Linked DNA regions of Drosophila melanogaster. The protein of the gene in region 2 interacts with the protein of the main gene of each other region in a pairwise test. Each region holds a gene or a part of one and is shown on either strand. Other genes may lie near its edges. The genes, in order: CG4676 and CG42393.

Region 1 (3,630 bases), on a different chromosome or scaffold from region 2:
TCCTAAGAGCTATTGAGATCAACGGAGCCGTTGAGTATGTGCCACGCCTTTGGTCTGACATGGTTGTGTTCGATCACACGCACCGAGAGAGCCTTCTACTCTACGTTCTTCGCATTTTGGTAGATAATAAGCCGAATCCAGATTCCCCCGCCCAAGCACAGTTGCCGGAGCAGGGCGCCAAGGTGGCGCTGGATATGTTCGAAAGGGTTGAGGAGGCTATCAAGCGTCTCCGAAAGGTCTCCTTCACCGGCCAAATGCTGGGAGATATACTCACGCTTCTCGTTCGCGGTGGTAGCTACGAAAAGGCGACCGAAGTCTTCGCCCACATTGACAAGAACCAGCACAGAATTCCCGGAACACCAAGCCTAAATGCTCTGATAGAATTTGTGGACGCAAGTGTGCAGGAGAAGTCACCCAGCCAGGCGCTGTTTGCCCTGCAATATGCCGTTGAGAACAACTTTGATTCCAGGGAGTTAGCCAAACGTATTCATGAAGGATTTACCCTAAATGAAACACACCTGTCTAAGCTGAAATCGCTCGTAGGCGAAAGTTTCCTCGATAAGTAGTAGAGTCTTTTGTAAATTATATAATGAACGCTGTTAAATAAATAACCATTTAATAAATACTTGTTTGGTTTCATTAAACAGATTAATTTAATACATATAATAGACATTACTGAATGAATACACAGTATTCTAAATATTTTGTAAAGCTTTATGTTAATAAAAGGCTTTGTACTATTTTAACTTGTAAGCTGATCAAATGTGTGACTTGTAAACATTAAAAATTAATTTCCATTGGTCAAGTAGAGAATAGTAAGACGTATAAATTTGGATACTATTTCCAATTCAGATGTTGACTAGTGAGTCTTAAAATAAACAATACTGATTTTGTTATGAAGTAGATATAAGTAAATGCCTCTAATGAATGTCAAGAATGGGTAAGACACAATTCAGATCTATTCCTCCTTTGGAGAAAAGGCGGCTATGGGTTCCCAGTTCATTCCGTCGTGTGGCAGATCGCTGCGTAGAAACGGCGACAGCCAGGTGAGATGCATTCTCTTGCCCAGAACCATCTCCAGGTTACCCCGCAAACCGCGATCGTACTTTCTTGTGCCGCGCTCTCGTGTCACCGAACCGCTCTTGAATATCGACCAGTGGAAGACAAGGAGCAAGGATGATATGGCGAAGCCCAGAAGGGTGAGATCATATATGACCAAGTAGAAGGACTCCCAGCTTGGAGACAGCATCAGGCTAACCACGGGAGCAAATATGGTGAACAGCGTAGACCAGCGCCAGTAGATGTCCAGATGGAGATGCCACAGATAGATGCTCTCCATGATGGCGGCCGCCAAGGATCCGATGATCATGTAAACCAGGTAGTAGAAGAAGTACCTGTAGTTGTGATGCCCGATGCAGCAGCAAGTGAACCGACAGTGGTGGTCCCGCTTCAGCACGCACACGTTGCACACTTCGCAGTGCCAGGATCGAGGTGGCACCAATGTCTGACAATCCTGGCAAGAGTGCCACCGTGCCAGCTGCGCCGCATCCAACGGTGGCTTCAGCAGCTCCTCTATAAAGACAATCTTAGAAGGGATACCACAAAATCACTGCTTGCTACCCACTGCGGATACTAGTGTCCACAAGCATGCAGGCCAGCATGTTGGATGTGATGTTGAAGATGAGGAACAGGCTGGCCAACCATAATAACGTGTACCAAATCCCTCCGATGGCAAACAGTTCCGGCATAACAATGGTCACATGGAAGATGTATGTCACGGGCACAAAGACAGCCACCAGGAGGAAACATGCGAAATCCGAAATGGAACGAGGTTTAACGCGATCCCACGAGCGCAAAATCATCATGCTCCCGTTATTTTTTGTACCCCCCAACTGAGACAGTGCTGCAAAGCGATTTTTGGCTCTGCTGCTAACGGTAAGACTGTTAAGTCGAGTATGGTGAAACGGTTAGAACACAACTCTTTACGTTAGGAAACCCGTAAAATGTTAAATAAGATTGAATTTAACAGAAGCAATCCGGTTTTTAAAGAACACAAATGATTTAATTTAAAGAAATATAAATATATAAGGTAATAATAAGTAACTTAATACGAATAAATCAAATGTCATAAACGATGGTATATTAAAGGAATACAAATGTTATAAGCTTAAGTTCTTAAGTTTGCTTTATATTATTACATAAAAACTTGAAATTAAAAATAAAATTTTATTTGAAATTAAAGAACGACTTTATAATGGGGATTTCTACTGTGAAATTACAAAAACAAAAACCATACAAAATTGATAAGGCATAGCGCTTCGATGAAACTTTGCTTTGTTTTTTTTCTTGGAACTTTTAAAGGCGATTCAATTAATATATACGTGTGCATAATAGGTTGGGGTTTTTTTTTGCGGATTATCGAAAACCATATGACGAACGAGACAATAAAATAAAAGAATATGTTTAACTAAACAATGTAAAGTTTTAAATTGTGAAAAATAATCATTTCCTTGATGTAGAGTGCAAGCAGGTATAAAACATTGCCTAGCCTAGGTGCACTGTTCTTTTTATATTACTTTAATAATTTTTTTCTTTTTTAGGTTTTAAAATTTTGGGAGCGAACTAGTTCGCAGTAAAAATGAATTCGTGTAGCTAGTAGTTTATACATATATACCAAATGACTTTTACTGACAATAAAACAAATTAATAGGCAAAGTAATTTAAAAATGCACAAATTATATGGCACGAAAAACGTTTAACATCGTTTCGCTTCGCGAGTTTTGAAAATAGCTGAAGAATCGTAGCTAGAAAGCAGACGATTTGGCATCCCTGGCAGCAGTTAATCAAACCACTTGCGACCGTAAAACATTCCAAATGCTTCGGTGAAGTTAAATCTTATCGCAGCAGAGCAGTCGCGTTCCACATCGCATTCCGTACGAATCGCAGCCGCAACCGATCCCGCAAATTGGGTAGATCCGCAAAATGTCGGCGACGCACCTGGTGATTCTGGCCGTCGCTCTGCTGGTGGACATCGCATCCGCGGGCGTTCCCCTTCCGCGATACGAGGCGCTCCTCAAGCAGCAGTCCCCTCCATCGGATCCCACACTGGGTCTCTACGACGACGGGGATAAGGTTATCCGCCTGTCGGTCGACAACTTCAATGCTACCGTCCTGGACCAGAATCGCGGAGCATTAGTCGAGTTCTACAACACTTACTGCGGCCACTGTCGCAGATTCGCACCCACGTACAAGTCGGTAGCGGAGCACCTGTTGCCCTGGTCCGAGGTGCTCATCGTGGCGGCCATCGATTGCGCCGCCGAGGAGAACAATGGCATCTGCCGCAACTACGAGGTGATGGGCTATCCAACGCTACGTTATCTGGGCCCCGGTTTCCAGCCGGGTCCTCAGCATTACGGGCAGAGCCTGCATACGCAGGATAAAAACGAAATCCGCGAAATACTAGCGGGTATGGTGGCCGCAGAGAACCTGACCAGCAGCCACAACAATTCCTACTGGCCAAACTTTCACTACTTAACGGAGAACGATTCAGCCAGCAGTTTGTTCGAAGGTCTCAGCAGCGCCACGGAGTACGTGGCAGTGGTTCACGAACCGGAGAACACCACTCTAGGC
Region 2 (4,165 bases):
CTGATTTGACGGAAAAACAGCTTTTGATATTGTACGCTTCGGATTTAATTTTTGCCTTTACGTATGTCCTCGCAGGAGTTTTGCTAGCTTGGGGAATCAAAAGCGTAAGCAACCGTTCAGCCAATTCATATTAGAACTATTTAGTAATCACCATTGTTTTTTCTTTTTTTTTTTAAGAAAACAAAGGGATTTATTAAAGCTGGAAAGATCTTAAGCTATTTCTTTCCCATATATAATATTGTTTATGTATTTCCATTAGGTAAGTGTATAACATATTTTTACATTTGACCTTTATACTAATACACACTCATATAATTTTCTTTTCTTGTTTTTTTTTTATAGTTATACATATTGGCTGTGTGATAAAATTATGCAGATATCTAAAGGAAAACTTTGATTAGAGCAGAGTTGGATATTCTCAAACCTAATAAATTCGACGATAACAAAATTGACTGTCACAAGGATGCAACAAAGGATACATTTGTATATATATATACATAATTGTGGACTCATTTCAGCTTTTACAATAGTTAACATAATGTAAGTGCTTAATTATATAAGTGTATAACATTTATAAATTTATTCTCCCCTGATTTAGTTATACGTGGAAAAAATGCACAGCAAGAAAATTATTCGGTAATTCGCAGTGCCGACCGATGATCAAAATTGACTTTGCTTTTGAGTGTTGTAATAGATACATATATCCTATTACCATCTAATACTGTAATCATTTGTCTACGGCATGTAAGTGTTAAATACTTATACCCGTTACAAGGCTAATTATTTGTGCTGCGATTACGACGCTGCAAAGTATAAATATTCTTGATCAGAAATACTTTCAATCAATTCAAACAAGTAATAAAATATAAAAATGCCAGTAACGAGAATAAGAAATAGTCGATTCAATCGACTATAGTTCTTTTTCCATGTTCTAATTTCTGTTTTGTTTTCTCTACTCAGTTTTACTTTGTAAAAATATTCAGCAGTATAAGGAAATCGTGAAAATTCAAAGTGGCTACGAATCGGATAGACTGAAATTTGCAATGCAATTCAAAATTTGTATTATAGCAGCAAACCAATTTCATTCCGAGGAAAATTTTTTGTGAAACTATATACCAAAATAAGTGAAAACTGTATTAAAATAAATATTTTCAAAGAACTCTTCGCATTACCACGATTTCAAGCTCGTGTCTTGACGTCATTCATTCTTTTATATAATTGTACACTAATTTCATTAAGAAGCTTTGCAGCACTGTAAAGGAGAGAATTGTGACCATATGAAAGTATATATGCACTAAAGTATCCTCAAAGCAGTGTTCTGTGTAATGCAAGTCTGAGCATTATTTTACATGGCTACCTCGGGAATAATCGAAAAATAAATGGAAAAATGGAAATTTTTTAATTATTTTTTTTAATTATGTATATCGGTATACACTTATTCAGGATAATGTATAATTTAGCTTTAAATTTAATAAAAAGCGAGCAACAGATATAGGAAGTGTTTTTTAGGTCATTTGTTTTTTCGGCGTTACATACATATGCTGAACTGAATCACTTAAAGATGGGCTTATTTGAAGGGAATGTATTTTCAGCAAGTTTTAAAAGGTGTATGTAGGTAGTACCTACTAGGTACGCTTAGAAAAAGACCGACAAAATTGTTTATCCACGTGCCCAGTGATGTTGATCTACATTTTATGGACCTTTAAAGATGCGGTTCGCTAAATGAAAATCTGCTGTGATGGTGTGGTTCGAGTGAGTAAAAAAGGAATCAAAAGGTATTGCTTAAAATTAGAGGTGATTTGTTAAAGGGATGAGTGTGCACTTAGATCCTGTGATTCATTCTTTTATAAAATGAAGGCATCTCTCATCGTGAACAGCACAAAATAATTAGTTGGTGTAAATTTAAAGAAATATTCATTTAGTCAGCTTTACAAGCCTTCGTTGATAAGAATACTGCACTTTCTTAATGACATAGCTATATGTTAAGTGCGAAATTTCTTTTTATCTACACAAATTGATCTAAAGATTTTAACTTTTAAATAGGATATTAAAGTCTTTTACTTTTTGGTGATCTACTGTGTTAAACAAAGTAGGCTGCCGAAAGTTTCCAAAAATTCGCACGTCGCAGTCGTCTACGAATATTATTTCATTACAGTTTTTGTACTAACACAAGTCAGTCGCTCAAAATTTTGTTTCCTTACAAAAAATTCACCGTGTTATTGCTCTAATAATTATAAAATATTTTGAAAAATTTAACAATGTGTAAATCGTGTGAGGAACAACCAGTTCGGTGCTGCTCAATTTTCTATGCCGCTTTCTGCATTTCATGCGGTCTCTTCATGCTCATTTTTTCGATTCACAATGTAATACTTTTGAAAAGCTCTATTACAGTCGTGGATTTTTATTTGCATATGCATGGTGCTGACATGTCTCCCTCAACTTTCCGCATCCTTTACTCGATGGATGTGATTTTTGCCCTTTCGTACGTCATTGCTGGAACTTTACTAGCTGTTGGAATCCACCTGGTAAGCAAAGCTCCTGATAATTCGCATTTGGCCATCTAATAAGCTTAATAACTTGTTTTTCTTTTTTTATATCAGAACTCAAAGGGGGTCTTCTTCGCTGGCAAGATCATAAGCTATTTCTTTCCAATATATAACATCCTTTATGTATTTCCTTTAAGTAAGTATTAAATTTATATGCACTAGCTGCAACTGCATTATTTACATATATTTCTCGATTTAGTTGTGCACATTGCCGCCACAGTGAAATTATGCAGATATCTTAAAGAGAACTTTAATTAAATTAATTGGATCTAAGCAAGAGCAGTGGACTGGAAGGGATTAAAATTGACAGCAGGATTATTGAAATATATTATAAAATTTTGGAAAAGATTTAAGCTATTGCTTGCCGTACAGTTACACTATTTGTTTAAATATTCCTTGTACTGCTACTCGATTTTGTGGTGAAATTATTCAGTAAGAAAGAACTTTAATAACGGGGCAGATTCGACATTCACTGTGCACAAAACAAGGCTAATACTTCTTTTATACCATTTTGAAAGAGTCCGCACAAAAATTAAGAACACAGCATGTAAGTCATTTAAGGAAGATTTTATATTTTTAAATAATTTGTATTTTTTAATTAGATATACGCGGTAAAATTATGCTGCATGGAAAAGGAATACGTGTCGTGATCTACATTGAGTGCTCTATAAATCTTAATAAATATTTTTATTGGTCTTAGAAAAGAAATATCATATTGTCTGCAATATGTTTACATCATGTAAGTGCAAAATATTTTTTTGTCACTATTCATACCCGTTACTGAACAAAATTAACTGAAAAGAGTAACGGGTATCTGATAGTCGATTCATTGGAATACTACTGTACTTCGTGTTCTAATTTCTATTTTCTTAATTTCCCGATTCAGTTGTACTTTGTAAAACCTAGTCAGCAGTATATGGAAAACGTGGAAATTCGAAGTGACTACGAAACGAATGGACTAAAATTTGCAATGCAATTCGAAATTTATCAGCAAACAAATTTAAAACACTTGTCCCGTATCAAGTGAAATATAAATTATCCTAATATAAATAAAAGGGTTTCCTAGCCGTGTTATGAAACGAGAATGCACTTCACATCTGTTAGTTATAAATAATAATAATATAACTCGAATAGGAGAATGCAATGCCAGTTGGCAATCATGGAAATATCGCTGTGAGGACATACCGCTTGGGTGTGGGATTACCGACGAGACCTTGTAACTTGGCCTAGTGCGATACCGTTACGCAGCCTCAGTTTCAATGCGATTGTAACGGTGTGGGCAAGGGCGCGGAAGGGAGACGGCGATAGCTCGATCGCAGGCGGCACTCAAGTACGTCACTCATACGCCCCGTTGCAACTGTAATCAAATTCACTTTTCGCTAATTGTTACCGCCGTCTCGCTCGCTCGTTCAGGAAATGTTTTAGATTCACGTTATACGCCTGCACTTGCCAGGCACACAACACCCTCCCCGCCGCCTAGAAACCCCGACAAACCAACCCGTGCATACATACATACATAAATATTTGTTTGTATAATTATTGTGTTCTCGCTTTCAGTGTGTCACATTTTTTTGTTTTTTTTTGTGTTCGCCTGGGTTTTGTTTCTATTGCTATTGCCT

The links.
Region 1: the proteins of CG42393 (region 2) and CG4676 interact in a two-hybrid assay, tested with the Drosophila melanogaster proteins (one large-scale study listed by BioGRID).

Annotation. Positions count from the first base shown.
Region 1 is NT_033778.4:13,234,250-13,237,879, reverse strand, and holds CG4676 (uncharacterized protein), read right to left. Parts: upstream 1,901-3,630; 5' UTR 1,866-1,900; coding exon 1,625-1,865; intron 1,573-1,624; coding exon 959-1,572; 3' UTR 825-958; downstream 1-824. Other genes in the region: CG4679 (uncharacterized protein), read left to right, coding at 1-566; Qsox1 (quiescin sulfhydryl oxidase 1), read left to right, coding at 2,983-3,630.
Region 2 is NT_037436.4:18,040,586-18,044,750, forward strand, and holds CG42393 (uncharacterized protein), read left to right. Parts: upstream 1-2,147; 5' UTR 2,148-2,258; coding exon 2,259-2,525; intron 2,526-2,600; coding exon 2,601-2,682; intron 2,683-2,745; coding exon 2,746-2,804; 3' UTR 2,805-3,093; intron 3,094-3,148; 3' UTR 3,149-3,285; intron 3,286-3,432; 3' UTR 3,433-3,629; downstream 3,630-4,165. Other genes in the region: CG32192 (uncharacterized protein), read left to right, coding at 1-104, 178-259, 343-401.